Linked DNA regions of Arabidopsis thaliana. The protein of the gene in region 2 interacts with the protein of the main gene of each other region in a pairwise test. Each region holds a gene or a part of one and is shown on either strand. Other genes may lie near its edges. The genes, in order: GATA17, AT4G16750 and MYB62.

What was found.
Region 1: the proteins of AT4G16750 (region 2) and GATA17 interact in a two-hybrid assay, tested with the Arabidopsis thaliana proteins (one large-scale study listed by BioGRID).
Region 3: the proteins of AT4G16750 (region 2) and MYB62 interact in a two-hybrid assay, tested with the Arabidopsis thaliana proteins (one large-scale study listed by BioGRID).

The regions. Positions count from the first base shown.
Region 1 is NC_003074.8:5,761,123-5,769,212, reverse strand, and holds GATA17 (GATA transcription factor 17), read left to right. Parts: upstream 1-4,452; 5' UTR 4,453-4,636; coding exon 4,637-4,825; intron 4,826-5,077; coding exon 5,078-5,461; 3' UTR 5,462-5,716; downstream 5,717-8,090. Other genes in the region: PPR40 (pentatricopeptide (PPR) domain protein 40), read left to right, coding at 1-812; AT3G16880 (F-box and associated interaction domains-containing protein), read right to left, coding at 1,383-2,480; COBL8 (COBRA-like protein 8 precursor), read left to right, coding at 7,109-7,649. UniProt on the Arabidopsis thaliana protein: Transcriptional regulator that specifically binds 5'-GATA-3' or 5'-GAT-3' motifs within gene promoters.
Region 2 is NC_003075.7:9,417,345-9,425,241, forward strand, and holds AT4G16750 (Integrase-type DNA-binding superfamily protein), read right to left. Parts: upstream 4,514-7,897; 5' UTR 4,317-4,513; coding exon 3,777-4,316; 3' UTR 3,307-3,776; downstream 1-3,306. Other genes in the region: ACX1 (acyl-CoA oxidase 1), read right to left, coding at 7,586-7,795, 7,879-7,897.
Region 3 is NC_003070.9:25,599,670-25,607,728, forward strand, and holds MYB62 (myb domain protein 62), read left to right. Parts: upstream 1-4,006; 5' UTR 4,007-4,172; coding exon 4,173-4,326; intron 4,327-4,414; coding exon 4,415-4,544; intron 4,545-4,638; coding exon 4,639-5,215; 3' UTR 5,216-5,512; downstream 5,513-8,059. Other genes in the region: AE7 (MIP18 family protein (DUF59)), read left to right, coding at 143-284, 715-808, 893-992, 1,319-1,364, 1,473-1,570. UniProt on the Arabidopsis thaliana protein: Transcription repressor of phosphate (Pi) starvation-induced genes. Negatively regulates Pi starvation responses via the repression of gibberellic acid (GA) biosynthesis and signaling.

The DNA.
Region 1 (8,090 bases), on a different chromosome or scaffold from region 2:
TCAATGGTTATCTTGTGTTAGTTCAAGCTCTGTTGAATGCTCAGAGGTTCTCTGAAGGTGACCGGTATCTGAAACAAATGGGTGTTGACGGGCTTCTATCAAGTGTATATAGTTATAATGCGGTAATTGACTGTCTCTGCAAGGCTCGACGCATAGAGAATGCAGCTATGTTCTTAACAGAGATGCAGGATAGAGGTATTTCTCCGAATCTCGTAACTTTCAATACCTTTCTGAGCGGTTATAGCGTGAGGGGTGATGTAAAGAAGGTTCACGGCGTGCTAGAGAAGCTTCTTGTACATGGTTTCAAACCAGACGTGATCACTTTCAGTTTGATCATAAACTGTCTTTGCAGAGCAAAAGAAATTAAAGATGCATTTGACTGTTTCAAGGAGATGTTGGAATGGGGTATTGAGCCAAACGAGATCACATACAATATCTTGATTCGCTCCTGTTGTTCCACCGGAGATACCGATAGATCAGTGAAGCTGTTTGCGAAGATGAAGGAAAACGGGTTAAGTCCAGACCTTTATGCGTACAATGCGACTATTCAGAGTTTTTGCAAGATGAGAAAGGTTAAGAAGGCTGAGGAATTGCTTAAAACAATGCTGAGAATTGGTTTGAAACCAGATAACTTTACATATAGCACTCTCATCAAAGCTCTAAGTGAATCTGGAAGAGAGAGTGAAGCAAGAGAGATGTTCAGTTCAATCGAAAGACATGGATGTGTTCCAGATTCATATACTAAGCGTCTTGTTGAAGAACTTGACCTAAGAAAAAGTGGACTCTCGAGAGAAACCGTGTCAGCCTCATAGAAATTGAATCCTCGAGAGTGTGAATATCCTATGAAGGCTTAGAAACCGGAAAAGTGGGTTCGTTTCATTTGGAAATGTCTGAGAAAGAACCCGATCTTTGCCACGGGTTGCCTCTTTGATGCAGACGGAAGAGAAACAGAACATGAGTGCAAAATGCAGAACAGAGTATTAAGTTTTGTTCTTTTGATTGATCAAAGCTTTTATATATTTCTGAGTCCGAGAAAGTGGCGGCAATAGTAATGGCAGTTGGTTGGTACTTGACAGTCAAAAGGCAAAAGATTTTGTATGTTTAGCACTAGATAGCCTTGGCCCTAATTTATACCCTTACCGTGTAACAGTTTAGGAAACAACAGTTTTGCCAGATTATATTGGACATGAGTATTGAATGATTTTGTTGTTTCGATCTCAAACTAGTATGCTTAACAATCTTTTTTTCAACGTAAGAGATGAGAAACGAACTAAGAATAGACCAATATTGTTCAGGAATCAGGAAGCTGAGAAAAGAAGACAAAGCAAGAGTAGTAGTAATTAAACAATGCAAGAACCAAATATTTGGGTATTGTAAATGGACTAGTTGCTTTTGCCTTTTGCCAGTTGCTTGATTTCCACTGAACTTGGTACATAAGAGCACCTAACAGGAAAACTTTCAGAATCTCCGAGATCCACTTTTCTGAAGTATCCATTCTCTCCAATGATGTAAGCTGTGATACGGTTTCTCATCTCTTTGTCCTTATCAAAAACCACAACTACTTTCTTCTCCTCGTCAATGAAGAAAATTCCATCATCAATAATGAGTGGTTTCATGTCCACTGTTAAGAACAACTTTCCCCACGACACATTGTTGGGCTCAATCTTGTTAGTAATCCATATCTCCATCCTTGATATATTGCAGCGGTGAAGTAACACTGCAAGTTTCTCTTCTCTAACACTAGAGAGAGCCACAATATCTCCACAACGAGAGTGGAACGGCAGAGGCAGAGTCGGTCCAAATCTCTCTGTTGTAAAATCAAAAGAAATCAAGAAGTCACCCCTATAATCAGTATACGTATAAGAATTTCCTTTCACAGAGACATCCATTTTATAAAAGGCTGTCGCCCAATTGGAATTGACATCAAGAGCCCTCCATGAATTAGAGTCTAACTCATAGATTTCGTAGTCAACACGTTCATCATCAATATTTATATAATTGTGTTCAGAACTCAAAATTTTGTAGCTGCGGCACGATTTTTTCGTCTCGTATCCAATAGCATATATATATGCGTGATGGCTTCTAGGTTTGATCCACCGAGTTTGCCCCAAATACGGATTCCAAACCACATCTCTAGTGTTACTGAAGCTTTTTGTGATGCATACCAAACCACCGCAATGATAGACTCGACACATACCGATTGGGTTAATAATTTTACCATTACACTTTATAGATGGTTCAACGTCTTCTTCCTTGTTGAGATTGATGTTCATTAAACAAAACTTAGAATCCATCATCATGATCACCATAAATTCCTTGGCAGCTTTTGTTTGAACGAGTTGCTTCTTTGTAAAGCTTTCTTCTTTGGCTAAAGTGTTCCACTTTTTGCAAGTCAATCGTATTGCTCTCATAGAATACAGTGGACTTCTAGAGAGTATCTCCTCCAACAAATCATTCGGAAGTTTGGACATCTTTGTCATTGTTTCAGCACTCAAGGATGATCAATGTAATAGAAATTTAGGGTTTTACTCTCACGCTTTCCTAATCTTTTTAATCGACAAGAAATAAGTTAGGTAACAACTTTATATGCCAACTTTCAAAAGTTATTTCCGTGAAAAAAGAAAAGGAAACAATAATTCTTTTTACTCCCTAATGGGCTAATTAGTATAATTAAACCACTATAGTGTAAAAATTAAGGAAACAATAATTCTTTGGCCAGATTCTATTTTACATGAGCATTGAAGGACTTTAGTCTTGTTTACCTCGAACACTAAATAACAAAGGTTATATTTTATAGAACCCAAAAAACAAGTCTTTATTAGGTCTTTACGTCTTTATCTCCTCCAACAAATCCATTGGAATATTGGATATCTTCGTCATTGTCTCAGCAAGGTTTCGATGATGTAGAAAATAGGTTTTTTTTTTTTGACTTCATAGAAAATAGGGTTTTTTAATTTAGAGTTATATAGTCAAATAAGTTACGTTACTTTTTTATGCGGCGACCTTCAAAAGCTCTTTCCAGTTCCAATTTTCCAATTTTGTTGTATTTTGTACTAATTTCCTATATTATGGTAAAGGGCTTGTCTATGGAATTAAGCCCAATCTTTTAACTTTATAATCGGTCTTGTTTTTTGCTGATGGTTTCTGCAATGTGGTTGTTTGAGGAGCTTTGTGGTCCTAACTTGGCATCCAAGGAAGAAAACCTTGTCTTTGTAGAACTTTGAGGTTAATTTAGTCCTACAACTGCGAGGTTAATTTCTTTCTTCCTTAATAATCTGCTTGGCAAAGGGTCATATCAATGCTCAAGTACGAGTTACATTGATACACAAAGAATTTCAAATATTGAAATTATCTCATCTTATTGGTGAAGTCTTACATATGTTGCAGAGTGAAGCTCCAGAACTCACCCAAAAAAATGCTCTGATGCATACGAAGGAAACTCATAATCTCACTCTTTGTCTTGATGATAAATATGTTTGGTCATTGGTGGTCAGGTCTCAAATCATCTTTCTGTTGTGATATGATGAATTACTGCATGAATATGTCAAAGAGAAACTATCTTCTTTTTCATGTTAAAAGAACACACTGATTAACAATTCCTCTAGTTCCTCTATTACTAACAGAAATGATCATTGAAAAATTAAACGGAGGCTGATCACTTTTCAATTCCATCATATATAAACTGTTTGGAATAAAATCAAATATGCCTTAGTTAATAATTCATACAAGACATGAGAATACAAACTAATTTTGGATTTGCACTAAACTTGAAACATAAGTGGGGAAGAAGTTATGTTTGAAGATTCTTTGAAATTCACTTTTTTGAAAATATCCATCCTCACTCCAATGTTTAGAGTTCACACCGAACATCTTCGTAAGACCAAGATTGAACAAACCTCAAAACTTTGTGGTTGAGGCCGCATGATTTGTCATCCACGTATCCTATGCCATACTTAATCCTACGGTGACAACTTAACGGTTCGAACCACCGGGTTTTCTTTGTGGGTAGGTGCATCTGTACTGTAATTTCTTCTTCTGTAGCTCAACTAAAAAACTGTACTGCGTTATCATGCTCATGGGCCTGGACTATCAAATTGAGCCCAATGGATATTTATCTTACAGAATTTTGCCATTATTTTTTTGTTTTTTTATTAATAATCCAGTCATCATTCATAAGTTTTTAAAAAATTCATTTGTTGCATTGATTGTAAATAAAACCGACGTAAAACTTTATTAGTTTATTATAAATTTTGACATTAGAAATAAAATAAAACCAAAAACTGAAAAAAAAAAAAACGTGAAAACAGATTATTGTCAGGACAGCGACCAATAACAAACCCTAGCCGCAAAATTTGAAAGCGGCTAGTTTTAAAAAACAAAAAATCAAAACATTGTTTCAGATTTTAGTTATAAGTTTTTGGGCGGGTGGCACAAAATTAATAAAAGCTCCCGCTCGAGGGTATTTTAGTCAATTCAAATAACCCGAAATACTAGGGTTTCCGCCCCCGCCTTCCTCCTCAATTATAAAATTCCTCTCCGTTTGTTTAATTCTGTTGCTACTAACCGCCGTCTCTCTCTCTCTCCCTCTTCCTTATCATCAAAACTTGCTCTGCTCCGATCTCTTAAAAAAAAAAAGATGTCTGAGGGATCAGAAGATACGAAAACAAAACTCGACTCTGCCGGAGAGTTATCAGATGTTGATAACGAGAACTGCAGTAGCAGCGGAAGTGGCGGTGGTAGTAGTTCTGGTGATACCAAAAGGACTTGCGTTGATTGCGGAACTATCCGAACTCCTCTTTGGCGTGGTGGTCCTGCCGGACCAAAGGTGAGATTTTTAACTAACCCTTTCATTTCAATCTTCTTATAGTCTATTGGGTTGTTGTTAGATTCCGATCTAGTAGATCTAATCAATGGATCGCGAAATAGCATCTATATTATGCATGATCCTATTTTAGGTTTTATCGTTTTTCAAATTTATTTAGGTGATGAATCAATTTAGTGACCGGAAAGATCTGATCTCATATTGCTCTGAAGTTCAAATTTTTCTTATTTCTTTGGTTTGTCTTTTGCTATGTAGTCATTGTGCAATGCTTGTGGGATCAAGAGTAGGAAGAAGAGACAAGCAGCACTTGGTATGAGATCAGAGGAGAAGAAGAAGAACAGAAAAAGCAATTGCAATAATGATCTAAACCTCGACCATCGAAACGCCAAGAAATACAAAATCAACATAGTTGATGATGGCAAGATCGACATCGATGATGATCCGAAAATTTGCAATAACAAGCGTAGTAGTAGTAGTAGCAGTAACAAAGGAGTGAGTAAGTTTTTGGATTTAGGGTTTAAAGTACCGGTGATGAAGAGATCAGCGGTTGAGAAGAAGAGGTTATGGAGAAAACTCGGTGAGGAAGAAAGAGCTGCTGTGCTTCTCATGGCTCTCTCTTGTAGCTCTGTTTACGCCTAAGTGTTTCTCTGTATTAGGTCATAATCAAGTGAGAGCGATTTTGATTAACTTAATTAGATAGAGATAATATGTAATGAATGTGTAAGTTCCTAGTTTTTTGGTTCCACTAATGTTTTGTGTTCATTTTCTTGATGAATTCAAATATCAACACTTTTTTTTGGTTCTTAGTCATTCAATGCCATAATAATGAGAATTGGTCTTAATTTTTAGTGCCTCAAATGTCATTCTCTGTGTATGGGCCCATATGGCCCAAGATATTGGGCTTTATCGGGGGAATCGTGAGGCGCGTGATTCTAGTTGTCTTGTCTCCGTCAACTCCACCATTTTTTTGTTTTTTGGTCCATTGATGTCGTTTTTCATTTGATTTGAATTTTTATATGCTTTTGAATTCACAACTGGTTTCAAATTCAGATTTTGTATGGTTTAGAGTTTTTTTTATATATATATCATGCTGAGGTTGTATACTTCGATTTGTTTTTTCATTTTATTGAAGGATGGCAATTTTTCGATTTGCACTTGGCAGAGTATCTGTTTGTGTGATTAAAAGTTGTTATGGTAACTTTGTAACAGGGACAGTGTAAATTTTCGATTTGCAATTGGTTTTGTTTTTCATGTAAGCGTATGATTCAACCTTAATAAGCCATCATTAATAATTAATAATGGTGGACCAACAAAATTTTAAGTAATGTTAAATATGGCAAAGTCATGAATCATACTTATAATTTTTTTTTAAAAATCTAAAGTGGTGACGAAAATATAATTCATTTAAATGGATCACTGGTGGACGAATGGTGTGAGTGTGACATGGCTAGGTAGAGCCGTGAACCTCGAGAATGATTCAAATTAACGGGGCAACTTCGTTCAACGGGGGACTTTCTTTTGACCAAAGCTTCTATTTATGTGTTTCACCCTTATATTATGCAGTTTCTTCGATTTAGGACCATTACTTCCATTGATTCCTTTATTTTCCTAAGCAAAGAGTACAATTTAGGAATAACTTGTCGATATTTTCCATAAACACCATTTCTTAATTTTGGAGATACGTTTTCCTTATTATTTTTCACAAATTCAAACAAAATCTTCATAATATATTTTAGCTATCAAATCACACTCTCAATACATTCAAAACTTCCATAAACACTCTTAGAAATCACTAAAATTTAGTAGACAGAAATATCAGTAAATATTTGAATATAAGTCATTTAAGCGAACATTCTATAAACTGTGTTTGGTATCAATGTTTTATAGCTAACGATTAGGTGTAAATTACACATTCACATAATTACTAAGATATAGGTTGGGGTTGCATTTTTTTATTAACAGAAATATATGGTTCATCTTGTAATTTGAAAACTTAAACCCACTATTTTATAATTTTGTCAGAAGAACAAAACCTTGTCTTTGGCTTTTGTTCGTAACCTTTGTTTACTTGATCAAGAAAAAACATTAAAATCCGACCAAACAAGGAAATATACACATTTTCAACGCGGACATAAATTTTCATTACAGCGTCTTACTAAGCTGTTCTGTTCTTTAACGCGGTCTCTTCCTCTCTTCAAAATTAAACTTCCGATTTTTCACCTTTTCATTTCCAGAATTTGTTTTTTAAAAAAGAGATTTTTGTGAGTGAAGAGATTTAGAGTAATCATGGGTTTAACTCGAAATTTCATTTTATGGATTCTTTTGTCATCTCTCTTCACGGCGATTCAACTAACGTCGTCTCAACGCAACACTCCACCACCACGCTCTAAAGACGCCGATCTCTGCAACGGCGTGTTCGTTTCCTACACTTACTTAACCGGTACCAAGATTAAACCAAACGACACGAAGAACCAGCCGTACCGGTTCGAATCAGAGATCACGGTCCTAAACAACGGCCGCGACGAGCTTAAATCGTGGCAAGTCTTTGTTAAATTCGCCCACCGCGAGATTCTTGTTTCAGCGACCAACGCTGTTCTCTCTGACGGTTCTAGCCTCCCGGCTAGCGTTGAGAACGGGACAATCTTCGCCGGGTTTCCATCGGCGGATTTGAAGACGGCGATCATGACGGCCGGCGACGTAACTCAGATGGAAGCACGTGTTGAGCTCGTGGGTACTCAGTTTGGAGTTGCTCCGCCGAGTGTTCCGCTTCCGAAGAACATCACTCTTGTTAATGATGGATGGTCTTGTCCTAAACCCACTCAACAAGGTATCAAAATCATCTGAATCTTATGACTTGAAATCTTGAGATTTTTTAATGTATTTTTTCATTTCTCGTTTAATTGTTCATAATTTTTTTAATGAATTGTTGCAATTTTAAATATTATGTGATCTTGGGTTGCTTATGAAGGCATTACCAAGAGTTTTAAAAGTCGAGCAATATGATCACATTGACCAGGTCTATTTGTGATCAATAGAGTGGTTGAAAAATTCTATTGTTTATATAGATTTCTTGTAAACTAAAAGTTTGAACTAGTCTTATTAGCAATTGAGATTAGACCTTAAGTTTACTTAGGAAACTATCTCATGCTTGGCTTTTCTGATAAATGTGTGGAATATCTGATTAAACATTTTGGAATTTAAGCTGTTCAGTTTGCATATTTGTTTTTCTTTTACTTCTTGATCATAATAAGACTCTTATTGCTGCGAG
Region 2 (7,897 bases):
TCAATATCATCACATCATCATGTTTCAGTTTAATTAGTAATTAAAGAGACTAATATTTTTTTGGTTAACAATAATTTAATAATAAAACGTGTTCATAGTTTTTTAATAGAGTAAGTAGTAGATACATATACTCATGAGGGTTCTCCCAACATGTTTGACTAATCTCTCGAAATTGGGCATACAATTTAGTAAAACGTTTTAGTAAATAGTATAACCACAAAGTTACACAATGAAATCAATCATGGAAATAGTAATATAGTGAATTTATAGTTTTATACTCTTAATGCTACACCTAATACCAATAACCTCTTAATAGTTAATACACAGTTTTTATTAGACAATACACAAATTTGATAGAATTTTTTTGTCTCTGATAAAAAACAAAAGCAAGGATATGGTACATATATAGTGTTTTTTTTACACATGTGGTGAAACATAATTCATTCGATAGTCTAACCTTTACGAAAGACAACAAATATTTTTTTCAACCGTATTTTAACTATTTGGTTTATTTGTATACATCGGTAAGAAAATAGTTTACGTAAGGCTTAAACACAATCATATCTTTGAAATTAAGGATTAAACGGTCTGTTTGAGAATTTAATATACGTAAATAGGGAAAACAGAGCAATTAAACCAATTGCTTAACCAAGAAAAATTATCCCAAGTATTGAAAATTGCTGTCCAATCCGACGGACATTGAGCCATCGATAGCAGTTCTAAGCAGTCCATCTCAAATGTTCGACAGCAATCGAAATCCTCTATGATCGAATACATGACATATCATAGGTTAGGCCTATAATTTTAGAAAGGAATCCACTAGAATGAGTCCATCCTGCAAACATATTCTTCCTACTCCAAAAGATAGTTATGAGCTCTCAAAAATATTTTTATAAACATCAACTATTAATAGAGAAAAGTAAATATTTAATTAATTTTTAATTCGTAAGTAGCCACTTAGGTCGAACTTAAAAATCCACAGCCGACATGAATATGAGATTAGTTTCTAGACGCAATATATTAATGATGACACTTTGTATAATCAAATCAATTAAATAAATAAATTGAAAATCGTTACTGACATGACATCCATAGATAAATTACATATGGAATGCAGGCATGCAGCATCAACGCTCAATCATATTCATAACTGTTGCTATTATTTAACAATGATTTTTTTGTTTGGTCTATGCAATACGTGGTTCACACTCTCCCACATAAAGGATATTTTACACGAATTTTACGATATTTTAAATAAAATTAATCATCTTTAATACAGGAGTATTTTTCAAATATTGTTACGAAGGAAGGATGGTGCTTCGATATTTGCTGCTCATTACACAACATGATCTACATCAAGCGTCCGTACAAAACCCATAGTAGGCGTGTTCGAATTTGCGACACAAAGTGTCTTAGTCATCTTTTTGATTTGAATGAAATGTTTGAATTAAGTTTTATATATCAGTTAGTTAACAAAACAAATAACCGTTATCTTATCAAGAACACATTACTAAAAAATATCTACATTTCTGCTCTCCAACGGTCTATTTAACAATACTTTAAAAGCAATTTGAAACAACTAATGTTTTCTAAAATGAATAAATTCAACTGATGTTTTCTATAATGAATAAATTCAACCACGCAATATATTTTGAAATTCGCTTTAAACAATTATGTAGCATTTAACTTCACATTTTACTAAAAAAATTTTTTTTATGTCTTTAAGGTTTTCAAAAATGTCTTCTAGAGATAAATTTGCTTAACTTTATAATTGTTCCTATACACTAAAAGGACGAATTTGATTAACTAAAAATCTTCAACCATCACGGTAAAAGTTGAATCTTTGTAAAAGTTACCAATAAAGACAATATTTGAAAAGTATAAAAAAAAGATATCTAAACTTTAAAAATATCTCGCTAGCTACATAAATTATTGTCCTTTGTGTAAATATGACTTATGTTTGTTTGAAGGTGTTCGTATGTGATAACAACACTCCGTATAATTAACTAGACATTTTTAAAGTTTGCATATATGACTATGTGATGGTATCTCTCTCTCGTTGGCAAACATTTTTTCATAAAAAATGGTCATGACAAATACAAATGCTCGTAAAGTCGTAAACAAAGTTTTTTTCACAAACATTCGTCTATTTTAGTAACTATATGACTGTATCCGCTTTTAACCAAAAAATAAAATAAAATCTCTTACACAATAATACAGTATGTTTTTAATAGTATTATAAACATAAAAGAATATCTATGAGTTTTTAAGTCAACATGCAATATATTTCTTTAGTAGAGAAAACAATGCACATTTGTTTTGTGTTTTTTTTTGGTAAGACAATGCACATGATTAAAGCAATTATGCATCTGCTTAAATAATAAGAAGTTTTAGTTTTCTATATTTTTTAGTTTGGGTTTCGATCAGAAATCTACGCTGGGTGTGTAAAAAAAAAGGGATTATGCATAAACACGCATACTCATCAAAAGATGATCTAAAATGTTTCATAATTCATTCCATAGTTTGGACAGTTATGCTACGTCTAATATATAGCAGATATAAATAAATATACGAGATGAATATGTACAAATTAATAATCAACATTCAATTTTGTTGAACTAATAACGAAAAGTTTGATGTGAACCTTAAAAGAAAAGTATAAGACAGAGAGAATATAATATTCAGGGAACTGATTTCAAAGAATTATAAAAACCCTCTATCTAGATTAAATTTGCTAAAAGCAATATAATAAGAATGATTAGAGAAAAAGTAAGGACACTAATTGCACAGAAGAATGAAAATCAGTACTAACTATACATACATTAAATACACCATACATTTAATTGATAAATGGGCCAATAGGTCCTTTAATTTTCAACTTTATAAGGGCCAATAAGATGATACGAAAAAGGGAGAAAATAAAAGTGGAAAATAGAGAATGACAGAAAAGACCATCAAGTTTGTCTCTTGTACTAATTTGCCATTTTCTCTTTGTATTCTACGTACCGTACTGTGACTTTGGCTGCTAGATTTCTCAATATACAAACAATTTGTTTTAACGAATTCCATTTTAATATATGCTTTTCAAATGGTAAAATGCGGCCGAGCTTAATGTTCATGAGCATATACTAAGGGAGGATATATAGTTCGGTTTCTAATTTATTATAAAGATATTAAAAATCCTTATATCGACTATCATTATAAATGTCACAATAAAAGATGTAATAGACCATACAGTCAAGAAATAAAAAAAAATATACTCCATGCTATATTTTTCTTATCTGCAAATAATGAGAAGTAAATGTCCTGATTTTGAGATGGGTTACATAACGAATAACTATACAAGTCATAAGTCATCTATGTTAACCATGAAAATACTGATCTTTACATTTACATGTCGAAGATGTTTACAAAAAAAAAAAAGATTTCGAAGAAACCCTAAATGTATATATTCTTTGCCGGCTCTATGGGAGTAAAGTTAGAGTCTTTGTCAGAACTCAAAGATGTGAAAATAAAGGGTCAAGACACACACTTAATGAATTTGGAAGATAAAAGCACAATAAATGAAAACTTTTTGGTAATGACGTACGTATTTGTACAAAAAAAAGAAATTAAATAACCTGTACTTACTTACACATCACACATTCGGAAACTTTTACTCACACGTAAAAAAAAAAGAAATTTCCCATCGTAGACAAAAAAGGTACAAAACGACATCGTCTTCTTATTTACCGGGAAACCACCGGAAAATCCGTTCGCCGGCAAGAATTTGCCTTCTAGTAATTTTCCAAGAAGAAAGGATCTTCGTACGGAAACGAGTCCCAGAATCCATCGTTTTTGTTGTGATCATTCACGTCAAGCAAAAGATCAGGAAGATCGGAGAAAGCGTCGTCGGCGACTGGAGATGACGTCACGGTGCTAGACGGAGACTCCGGTGCTTTCCAGTCAACGGCAGCTGCTGCGGCGGCGGCTTCTTGAATGTCTTTAGGGTCCGCGCTAGCCGGTCTCGGCAAATGGTAAGCTAGCTCCGGGAAATTAAGGTGGGCAGAGCCACCTTTGATGGCTAAAGCCGCCACGTCGTGTGCACGCGCCGCCATCTCCGGCGTAGAGAAAGTACCGAGCCATATTCTTGATTTCTTTCTTGGTTCTCTAATTTCAGACACCCATTTTCCCCATTGTCTCATTCTGACCCCACGAAAATTTGGTTGTTTAGAAACACCTTTTTGCTCATTTTTAGTCTTAGAACTCTTTCCGGTTTTCTCCGGCACCGGTGACCGGAGGTTACGTTGCGATTCGTGAGAGGAAGAGTCTTGCATCTAAAGATAATTTAATGTAACGAGAGAAAGAGAAAAAAATTGGTGGGAAGATTAAAAAAAATGTTTTGTTTTTGGTATTTTGGAGTGTGAGAGTAGGAATAGTTTTGAGGAGAAGAGATTGGTTTGCTTCTTTCTAATATATACATCCAAATACGAAGCAATTATTCTTGTGTGTATGTTTTTTCTTTTATGTATAAATCAAATATTAAAAGCTAAAGAGAGACTTGACTACATTAAGATTTTTTTCTTTTTTCTTTTTGTTTTTGCTTGCAATGATATTTACTTTACTTTATAATATTCATTATTTTATACCTGAATTGGACACTTGTTCGTTTGTAAACATTCTAGTGTACTGTTATCACTCGTTTCTCCTAAATCGTCCAAGTTCTTCCAAATTAAAAAAATACGTACTTGAAACAGCCCGAAATCGATATTTAAATTAATTTGTTCTGTTTGGTTTTGAACCAATTTTTAGACAAATATATTGGTTAGAAAAAAACAGAATTTTATCTAAAATTATAATATAATATTTCTTTTAAAGTTCTGACATATGCTTTGGCCATCGTTTCATTGAAGTTTGAAATATCTATTTTCGAGTAGATCCACCAGTTACTACATGTGGATATAACTTGAGATCATTTGTTTTTTTCTGTTTGTGTAGACATTTTCACAGTACAGTAGATTTTAGAAAAAATTAGATTCAATTGTAACTTGTGGGCCCGAATTTACTTTTAGTTTACTTTACAATTTTTCTAATTTCCGTCTTTTGTTTTTTTCCCAAAAATGTCATATTTTCGTTTGCCCGACCATGACCCATGTCTGCCTACAAAGCTAACCCACGTTTTTCACTCGGATTAAGTTTGACAAAGACAAGGTTAATATTAATACATCTTAAATCTCATTATTAATTTAGCAGTATACGCCTCTACACTATTTCGAAAATCGGAAGCTCCAGCCTCCAGGGACTACTTCAGCTATGGTTTCAGTCGAGACGCAACTCCTAGTTCGTTAGCTTTGTGTGCTCTGTTTCATAAGTTTCTCTGGTTTTGGTTCTGATATTATTGCTCTGTTTCTTTTCTTGACCAAACACTTTTGTAAATATCTTTTTTTATTAATTAATTTAATTCACATTTCGACAAATAAAACTAATTTAGCAATAAAATAAAATTCGTCTTAAGAGTTAACTCATTAAAAAATGCCTCAGGTAATAATAGTAGTATTTACGTTTATATATATAATCTATATATTTTTATATATTGTATCACGTTATTGAATATCTGAATTCTTGTCATTTTAGCAGGGGTTAAACCGTTAAAGTATGTCCTATATACTCCATTTTGATGCGAAAATGTTAAATATTGACATAAAATAACATAGACTTATTAATAAAAGTGAAAGAATTGGAATGAACCCACTAGCCATTTATTAGTAACGATAATTTTTTTTTAAAATATATTATTTAACAACTGTCAGTCAATGTTTTTTACTTGGACGTTTGCTTAATAGACGGATTAGGTTATGCACATTTGCGGATATACGTTCCTAAATAATTGTAGAAGTTTTTTTGATATATTATAGAATTTAAAGATTAAGCATTTTTAGTAAAGAATTTGAGTGAAGATTGCTGTGGACGACACACGTACGCAAAACGACGTAAACACATGTAGTGTATATCAGTATATGTACAAAGTATGATGTTGAAAATGTATACATTATCATATAGAGGGAGCAAGTTACGTATTAGTTTTATCGTGGGGTCCATTTGACGATTAAGACTAAGATAAAAATAAAAATAAACGTTTTACATAAAAGTGAAAAGACTATAGAGATATGTTGATTATTCAGTAGTAAACAAATTGAGTGATTTTTTTATGAAATCAAGAATTTTTTTACTGTAATTTTTTTTTGGCAAGTACTGTAAATTGTTTGGAGTGTTTTCTGTTCAGATTTCATAAAAATATCTCGACCAATAATATTTATTTAAGATAAATATCATAATATATAGATTAATGGATTTATATACAGACACACTCTTAAAAGTTAAAACTGTACGTAAGTTTAAATAAGGGAATAAATAAGTAGAAAGTCAGATTAGCTAGCTAGCTTGGTGAAGAAAATATATTAGAAAAAGTAAAATTTAATTCGGGTCGATGTCTTAATTCCCTAAACACTTTAACTACTAACCATTAGAAAATGAAAGATAAATGCCACTTTTGAAACTCTTTTTTAGTTTTTTTAAAACAGTTGGTTGATAAAGGTGATTACAACCAAAACATTAGTTTGCTCTATTTTAATTTACCTACCAAATTCGGTTATTAAATGCTTAATTAATATAAAGGTCTGGAAGTCTTCTGTCGGAAAATGATGCTAATTGAAACAAAGCACAATCCTGAAAACTCCATATGCATGTTTCATTTTAAGCAAACTTCTCTTTCATATTGATGTTGCAAACAAATTTTTCTTCTTCCTACGACGCATTACATTGAAATCGTGGGTTAACTCCCAAACTTTGTTTTTGGTGAAAATTTAATGGAAGGATATATGAAAAACAGGTTTCTTTTGTTTACAAACCACTGTTTCTTACAGCTTAATTACATTTTTAAAAATTATACTTCTTCTGTTTTAAATTACATGTCGTTTAAAGTTTTGCACAAAAATTAAGAAAACAATTAATTTTTTACTTTATGCTCAATATATTCTCTAACTTTTTAATTAGTTAAGACATTAAAAGTTTGAAGATAAAACTAAAATTTTTACCAAAATATCTGCATTGAAAATCCAAAACAATAATTATAAAACAAAACTTAAGTGATAAAACAACAACTAAATTAAAACGGAGTGAACAGTTATTTAAAATATCAGCGTATGAGTAAAAAAAATTTCTACAATGGAAGTTGCATAATTTCTGAAATAACTTTGCCTAAGTAACCCTAACCCTATATATTACATAATACAATCTTAACGAAAGCAATAGAGAAATGTCAATATATGTGATTGGACTATATACGAAGATTACAAATATCCCACATATCCTTCTCAGAGTAGAAACGATCAATTGTATTAATGTTGCATTGAAAACGAAAAATAGTACTAAAATTCCGCCATATGACGATCGTACATTAACTATTACATTGCTACATATAAATAAGGGCATCGCCAGTTTTTAAACTGCGAAATTATTCAAAGCGAGAAGAAGAAGAAGACGAAGAAGAAGGACGAAGCAAGTCTAATGTGATTAACCATATCGAGTATCAAGCAAAGAAAACTCTTCAGAGCCTAGCGGTACGAAGTTGCTGCTGAAGCACAGGTCGAAGGTATTCTTGGTACCCATCAGGAACCACCGAGTCGTTCAATGGATCCTTCAACGCTTCCTCAAAGAGCTTTGGGTACACATTACCGTCGTAACGGCCAAGAACCGAGTTCAAGTAATGGTCGGTGTAATTGAAGGCGTCCACAAGTGCAACCGCATTAGGCCGGACCTAAAAGAAGCAACAAAAACGTGTTAAAACTTAGCTTAAAAAGGAATCAAATGCAGAGATGGAGAGAGAGAGGAAGAAAGAACCTGAGTGTATAAGGAACGG
Region 3 (8,059 bases), on a different chromosome or scaffold from region 2:
GTATGTATCTTTCTTTAGTTTTCAATTCGCTGCTTGCTTCTTCCCTGGGAATTTTAGGGTTTTTAGGGTTTTGTAATTTCCGATTGAAAAGTTTCGTGCTTTACGAGTCTCTGTAACTCAATTTTTGGCAGGGAGAAGAAAAATGGTATCTGGGTTGATTAATGAGAACCCTATCATTTACCCAAAGAAAGAGAGGCGTCTTCGTACTGATACAAGCATTACTGATGAGCTTACACCAGAACCAATTGATCAACTTGAGATTTTTGATATCCTTTCTTCATCAAGTTTTCTTAGAACTACTCTAATTGCAAACCTTAATTGGTGAATTGGTTTGATTGTGTGTGATTGTGAGGATGTGATTATCGTCTTACAGCTATTAGCATCTGAAATTAAGAGTAGCTAGTGTATGCATAGGTTTTGGAACAACTTGACATGCCTCTTAGCTTGAAGTTTGCTTCTTTACACTATTAGAAGTCATGAATCTTTTGTTCTCATATGCATATCTTTTCGAAGTAGGTGTTGGAACCATTTGACATGCTTCTTAGCTTAAAGCCTACCTATGAATCTTTTGTTCTCGAATGCTAAATTTCTTGTAATTATGCGTGGTATCGGTTTGGTAATCTGTGAACAAATGGAATCTATGTTTTAGTTGATACAGAATGATATTGGATTATTTCTGTTGTTTTCTTTAACAATACACAAATCATATAAGAGATATCAAAGATCCAGAGCATCCTAATACTCTGGAAGATCTCAGAGTAGTTACAGAAGACTCAGTTGAAGTGGATGATGAGAACAGTTATGTTAGGTAAAATGTTGGGATTGAACGTTTTGTTATGGATTTTTAGTGTTCCTTTGAGCCAATCTGTTGAGCTCTACCATTTCTTTTCAGGGTTACGTTCACTCCAACTGTCGAACATTGTAGCATGGCAACCGTTATCGGTCTTTGTGTCCGTGTGAAACTTCTACGAAGCCTTCCTTCTCGATACAAGGTACAAAGCTTTCTTGTTATTTCATTTCTAAGATTTTCCGGTTCCCTTTTCCTGTAAGTTTGTCAAGATGATCTTCTGAGCCCATTTTCTGATTTATACATTATCGAGAGTGGTTTGAACGTAACTGAGATCCAACACATGTTCTCCTTGTGATGATATATGAGGCAGAGAAATTTTTTAATTTTTCATTCTTAATCAACTGTTCTTGATACTTGCGAAGAGAAGATAGCCCTAGCCTCTACTATATATAGTTAGGACTGCCTTAAAACACACTCGCACAATGTTTTATGTGCCTCAGTCCTCTGAAACGAATCTTCATTTTTCAGATTGATATAAGGGTAGCACCTGGTTCTCATGCAACAGAAGATGCATGTATGTCATTTTTCAATATCTATCCATCTTTTTTGGTATGCATGTTTTGCTTTACATCGAGTGTACTTCTTTAACATGATGTCTGGTTTCTTGGTGTTTAAAATGCAGTGAATAAACAACTAAACGATAAAGAACGTGTGGCGGCTGCACTAGAGAATCCAAACCTCGTGGAGATGGTTGATGAATGCCTGCCATCAGAAGAGTGAATTGCTTTTATTTTCTTGTGAGCAAGTAATTTACACAAGCCTGGTGGTCTCAGTTTACACTATCAATACATGTCTCTGTTTTATTTGCAAAGATTTTGATCCATCACATCGACTAGGACTTGCATTGTAATACTTACTCTGATTTCAAGTTTGTTCTCAATCATTTCAATAAAGTCTCAAACACAAGTTCTTTTTAATAAAAGTTGACGTGTCATTTCGATTTCAAAGTACATATACATCAATCAAGTTGGGAACTTCACATCTCTCTCTCTCTTAATGCATTATTACAAAGTCAGCAAATTGTTTATGAAGCAAAAAGCTGTTTTCTTCTTCTTCTTCTTAGATGTATTGATATATGAAAAAGGAAACAACGATAATGAGATGGATATTTTTGGAAAGGATATGTAAACTTGAAACACACACTTTCTTTTTGTGTCCCAACTTATCTTTAGGTTTTCGATTATCCAGAGTATATGATGTTTATTGTTTCGTTGTATAATGTATGGGACTCGAATCATACTTTAACAAGAATCTTGTATATAGCAACTTGGTCTCAAGATCAACCTAGTTGCATAACTTGTAACCCTCCGATAGAATCTTGCAATCATATATATCTTGTAGATGTTGACGAACTCGAGAATCGGGTAACAATCAATCATCTTCTTTTGTAGTCTCGTGATTTGATTATTGTCGTCGTTAATTGTTATGCTATAAGTAGAGTTTAAATTTGAAAATATGCGTATGTGAGTTGTAGACGACAAAAAATATTTAAATTTGTTTACGTTAGTCCAATTATATGGATAATATTTGAAGGAAATGAATGTAACTGTAATTCTATAGAACAAAAATGACTGTTACTAATAACATAGTAACAATTATGTCATTGTTGATTATATAATAAGAGAGGATAATGAAGACACAAATGTCAAATCGACTTTGTTTTCTTTATTCCTGGTCTTTAGGCTTTATTTACATGTTGTTTTGGTTTTTGGGAGTTATCATCTTCAAAAGATTGGGTTGAACAGTAAGTGAGAGTTATTAGCAATACCATAAGTTTTAATACATGCACATAGACATTTTTTGACTTGCCGGTGTAAAGCGACACGACCCTTCCTTATTTTTCCAAAATTATTATTTGTTTAACAAAATATTATACAATACGATTTGAGCTAATGAAAACTAATATAGGAAGAAGAATCTTTGAATATTCAAAGTTTGAAAGGATAATATGCTATACTAAGTCCGCATAAATTAGCTGGCTTCTAGAAAATTGTTGTTAAAAATAGCTGTCTTCTAGTTTTACCATTTACATAAAAGTTACAAGAATTTATATCATTCATTACACCATATGTAATATATGGATATGAATTCGGATGATGCCACATCGACCACAATAGCTCAAAGCTACTAAACAAAAAGTCTTGACTCTTGATCAAACATTTGGAGTGTTTATTCCAATTTTTGGATTGTTTTGGTACAATTTTTATTTAATCAATAATTTGTGGGACAGTGGTTTATTAGGTTTTGTAATATCTTGTTTGTCTCGAGTCAAGACACATGTATCATGTATGCTTCTTGTTCCCATACCAATAATTATGTTAAACTATGTTCAATCTCAATATTCAGCAACATTACCAAATAGAAAACCAAAATTTTTATAAAAACTGTTAGCCAAAGTTGGGATAAAGACAATTTTAGAAGTAGAAGAAAGAAAAATGACTAGTATACACTATCACAGAGGTAAGAGTTAAAAATGAACTCTATAGCATATTATGAATATGACTATTGTAAACTTTTCCTGTATAGTTAATTTAGTATTTAAGAATCTAAATCGTACTTTCTTCTTCCAAAATTCTGTTCCATATTCTTTTCACGTGAACATCTAATCCATAGAGTTAAATCACCAAAATTCCATTTCTGTTTCATCGTCGCATAAAAAAGTTTATGAAACTGTATCGATATATTCTATGCTTCTAATGAATTATATACTTGGACCAGGGTTCATCGCAGGATTCGACTAATCCAAAACTTTTTTTTTTAAGAAAGTCATATTTAACTGAAACAAAAACCAGATGATTTAAAAAAAAAATGTTTGCATATATCATATATGTGTTGGCTTTTGAACAATGGTAGCTCGAAAAATAATTTCAGAAAAATTGCATGCGTAAGATGAAAACAGAGACGCGATTAAGAAAATGTCAATGAGATATTTTGTGATAACAAATACTAATGAGTTAAAACATGTTTTTTGACAATTTTAGAATGTATAAATGTCCTTGGCAATGTTAAAAAAATAACAATATTTTGTATGAGTTAAAAAGAGAAGCTAATTTAGTAAAACAATTTACTTTAATTTGGAAACGTGTGATAATTAATTTTTCATTGGAAAAAAGCAAGCTGATGGCTAAAGTAACAACATTTTCCAATACCACGACCACGAGTCTATAAATTCCCAAGAACCTGTTGAATCACTTTCACTTCTCAAAGCACCTAAAAGTCTATCTCTCTCTCTCTGTATACAGTCATGCATGCATAGAGCTTAAAAGATACGAAAACACCACAAACCAAATATCATTAAGTAATTAGGAAACTTAAACTAAGTATGGAAAATTCGATGAAGAAGAAGAAGAGCTTCAAAGAAAGTGAAGATGAAGAACTAAGAAGAGGGCCTTGGACTTTGGAGGAAGACACACTTCTCACAAATTACATCCTCCATAACGGTGAGGGTCGTTGGAATCACGTCGCCAAATGTGCTGGTAATTAATCAAGAACTTGATATTGGTTTATTAGTTAGATTCTCTGACTTTACTATATAATCACTATCTTTAACAAAAATGAGAACAGGGCTAAAGAGAACTGGGAAAAGTTGTAGATTGAGATGGTTGAATTACTTGAAACCCGACATAAGACGAGGGAATCTTACTCCTCAAGAACAGCTTTTGATCCTTGAGCTTCACTCTAAATGGGGTAATAGGTGAGTGATGAGTCACTTTCATATCTCAAGAGTCTTTTATTTTCTTTTTTTGTTTTTTTTTTCTTTTTTCCTAAACGAATATTTGTTATCTAAGGTGGTCCAAGATTGCACAGTACTTGCCAGGAAGAACGGATAACGAGATCAAGAACTATTGGAGAACAAGAGTTCAAAAACAAGCTCGTCAACTCAACATCGAATCTAACAGCGACAAGTTCTTTGACGCTGTTCGTAGTTTTTGGGTCCCTAGATTGATCGAGAAGATGGAACAAAACTCATCCACTACTACTACTTATTGTTGTCCCCAAAACAACAACAACAACTCTCTTCTTCTTCCTTCTCAATCTCACGACTCTTTAAGTATGCAAAAAGATATAGATTACTCGGGTTTCAGCAACATAGACGGTTCTTCTTCAACTTCTACTTGCATGTCTCATCTAACAACAGTTCCACACTTTATGGATCAAAGCAACACCAATATCATCGATGGCTCGATGTGTTTCCATGAAGGCAATGTTCAAGAATTCGGAGGATATGTTCCTGGCATGGAGGATTACATGGTAAACTCGGACATCTCAATGGAATGTCACGTGGCGGATGGTTATTCAGCGTACGAGGATGTTACACAAGATCCCATGTGGAATGTGGATGACATTTGGCAGTTTAGGGAGTAATTAAGTCGTCAAGAGATGAGATGGTAGAGCCTACCACTACGGTTCTATTATATGGACTAATATACTTCTTTTGCTTAACTAAGCAAAAAGTTTCGAACCTTTTACCCATATTATCTCGGGTTGGAGACTAGAACATGTTAAATTTGTATCTTCTTTGTTGCGAGTACTTACTAAGTCATTGGATAAATATTTATAATGATAGTTTCTTGTACAAGTCTTTGAATTCATGAAATCTTTTATCAATGTATGGAATTTTATGAAGTTTTAAACTTTAATCATATTCTTTTCGGATTGGAATTGAAACATGTTAAATTAGTCTAAATTTTTCCTCTTAGTTGGTGATCAAAGTCAATGTTTGGATAATTATTTATAATGCTTGTTTGTTTGTTATATAAGTCTTTAAATTCAAGAAATCTTGTATCAGTGTATGGAACTTCAATTTATGAACTAACCAGGTCAATTTTATACATGACTAGACTTAAGAGTAAATAGTAAAGGGTAGTCTCTTGTCTTGAAATCTTTGAGACTTGTGTGGATTTTAGTGAGAAGAAAACATATCTAATCTCACCTCAACAGGTGAAATAACCCAAAAGCTAGGAGAGTCGATCTATCCAAGATATTAAAATGATGGGGATAGAGACTCAACCATCTGTCCCTTCACCAAATTTGATGTGTTTCTTTGTAAGATCGTTGACAATATTACAGGGCATTTGGCTTGATTGACATAAATCGTTTTTTTGTGGAATTAACGAATCATAAATAATAATAAAAGAATTGATTACATAGTTGAATGCTCTTACATAAAGTTTTAATATATACGCATTTAGACAAACCATACAAAAGTTTTAATATATGCGCATTTTGTATACCAGCAGTAATCAATGTTGGTTCAAGAAGATAATAGAGACAAAGGACCCATCAATTATTTATTATAATTATCTGAAAAGAGCTTCAACTAAAATGATAGAGAAAGGTGGCTTTGGAGAAGTCTTGTTAATGGGATCGAATTATTGGAGGTCACTTCAAAAGCCTTTCATAAGTACATGGAAACTCCACAATGATTTGAACCCAAAGGGTACCACTAAAAGTTGGAACAAACATTGATGCACTTTTGAGAGGTTATGAACGATAGATCACACTCATTGTGTATGTAAAGATTTTAGTATTTCAGACAATATACAAAAAAAAAAAAAAAAAAAATTCCTTATGATCGAATCCAGAAACGTAGATGGTCCTGCTATGGACGTGGAATTATAAAATTGTATAACTTAAAGATTAAATATCTAAAACTGGTGGATAAACGCCAAATACTTTTAGAAAAGACATGAGTAACGTGGACCCAATTTGAATAGAAACATTACTGTATAGGTCAAATATTCATTAATTACGGATATATGTTAGTTGCAAAAAAATTTCAAATTTTGTAAGAACATAATCCACGCGGCCAAATCATTTGCATCTTCAAAATTCATTTCCAATGACAATGATCTATATATTGTGGAATTTTAATTGCATAAAATCATATATATTTTGAAAAATGTTTTTAGTCAAGTAGTTAAGTGTCTATTTTTGCGGTTTTCTCCAGTTACCCTTACCCACACAAAATAAAAAGTGGGCTATCGATCGGACCTTCTCGACTGATATGGTATTAGAGTGAAACCAAAAAAAATCATATTTTCCCAACTTAACAAGCACATTTATTTTAATCACTGTAATCGAAATTCTCATGTTCAAAAAATTTTTGGGAAACAAATAAAGTGAAGTCATGTTTGGTCTACATATCACCAAGCTTAATCTTTATATTGTCTGAATAGTTTATATATCTGCGGATTGGTCGACCATACAACCAGGCAGATAGTGAGACCAAACCTTGATCTTAAAATAGGCAAGTTCAATTTAAAGTGTCGTAGAACTGTATGGCTTGTTAAGGTCGAGATGGGCCAAACTAACATTTCTACTGCAATACTCATTTATCAAAAATTTGGAGATACGCAGAAATATCAAAAGTTATGAACCGAAATCGATAGTTCCATCGGTTGAACCCGAAAAGAACATCAGGGAGAAAAAGACCAAATATTTCAGTTCACACAAAATATATTAACGTACAATGTTCTAATCTTTAGTTTGGAGAAATATGTCTTTTAAATTACTTTTTGGTTAAGAAATACTACAAACCAAAAAAAAAAAAAAAAAAAAAAAAAAAGTCTTACTACAAATAATGGGGAAGTAGAGTGGGTGGCACTGGTATATTAACGTTGGTATGGTTAGGTAGGCCGTAGGTTAGTATGAAAGACTAGAGAAAGTCAAAAGTCAAGATTATTGTTTAAGAAGAGGCACCAACTTAAGAACACCAGCTGGTTTAGTTCATGAAACAAGACATTTTACAACAAAAGTTATGACCATCTCGTAAAGTAAACAGTGTTGTTTTGGCACCAAATCTTACAACCACACGTTACACGTATTACGCATATATATATATATGCTCATTTTCTTGTTCCGTGTTTCCGAGTTCATCTTGTTCACATTGTTCAAACAGATTATATCTTCACTTCCATAACTATTATAGTCAAACCTAAGACATGAATAGATTGTCATGTTTCGGTGAATAGTGAACCAACCTCGTATCTCACATGTCGACTGTGTAGAGAGCATAGAAACAATGAACCATCCCAATTTAAGAAAAATAAAAAAAGGAATTGAAGGATAAGTGAGGCCATATGCACTCTGCACTAATACACATGTAGAGAGCATAGAATCAAGTATAGTGAAAGAGTACGATAACGTCAGCAGCATTATCCTTAAATCCCAAAGGCAAAGGGCACCTTATTCCTTCCTAAATCGAGT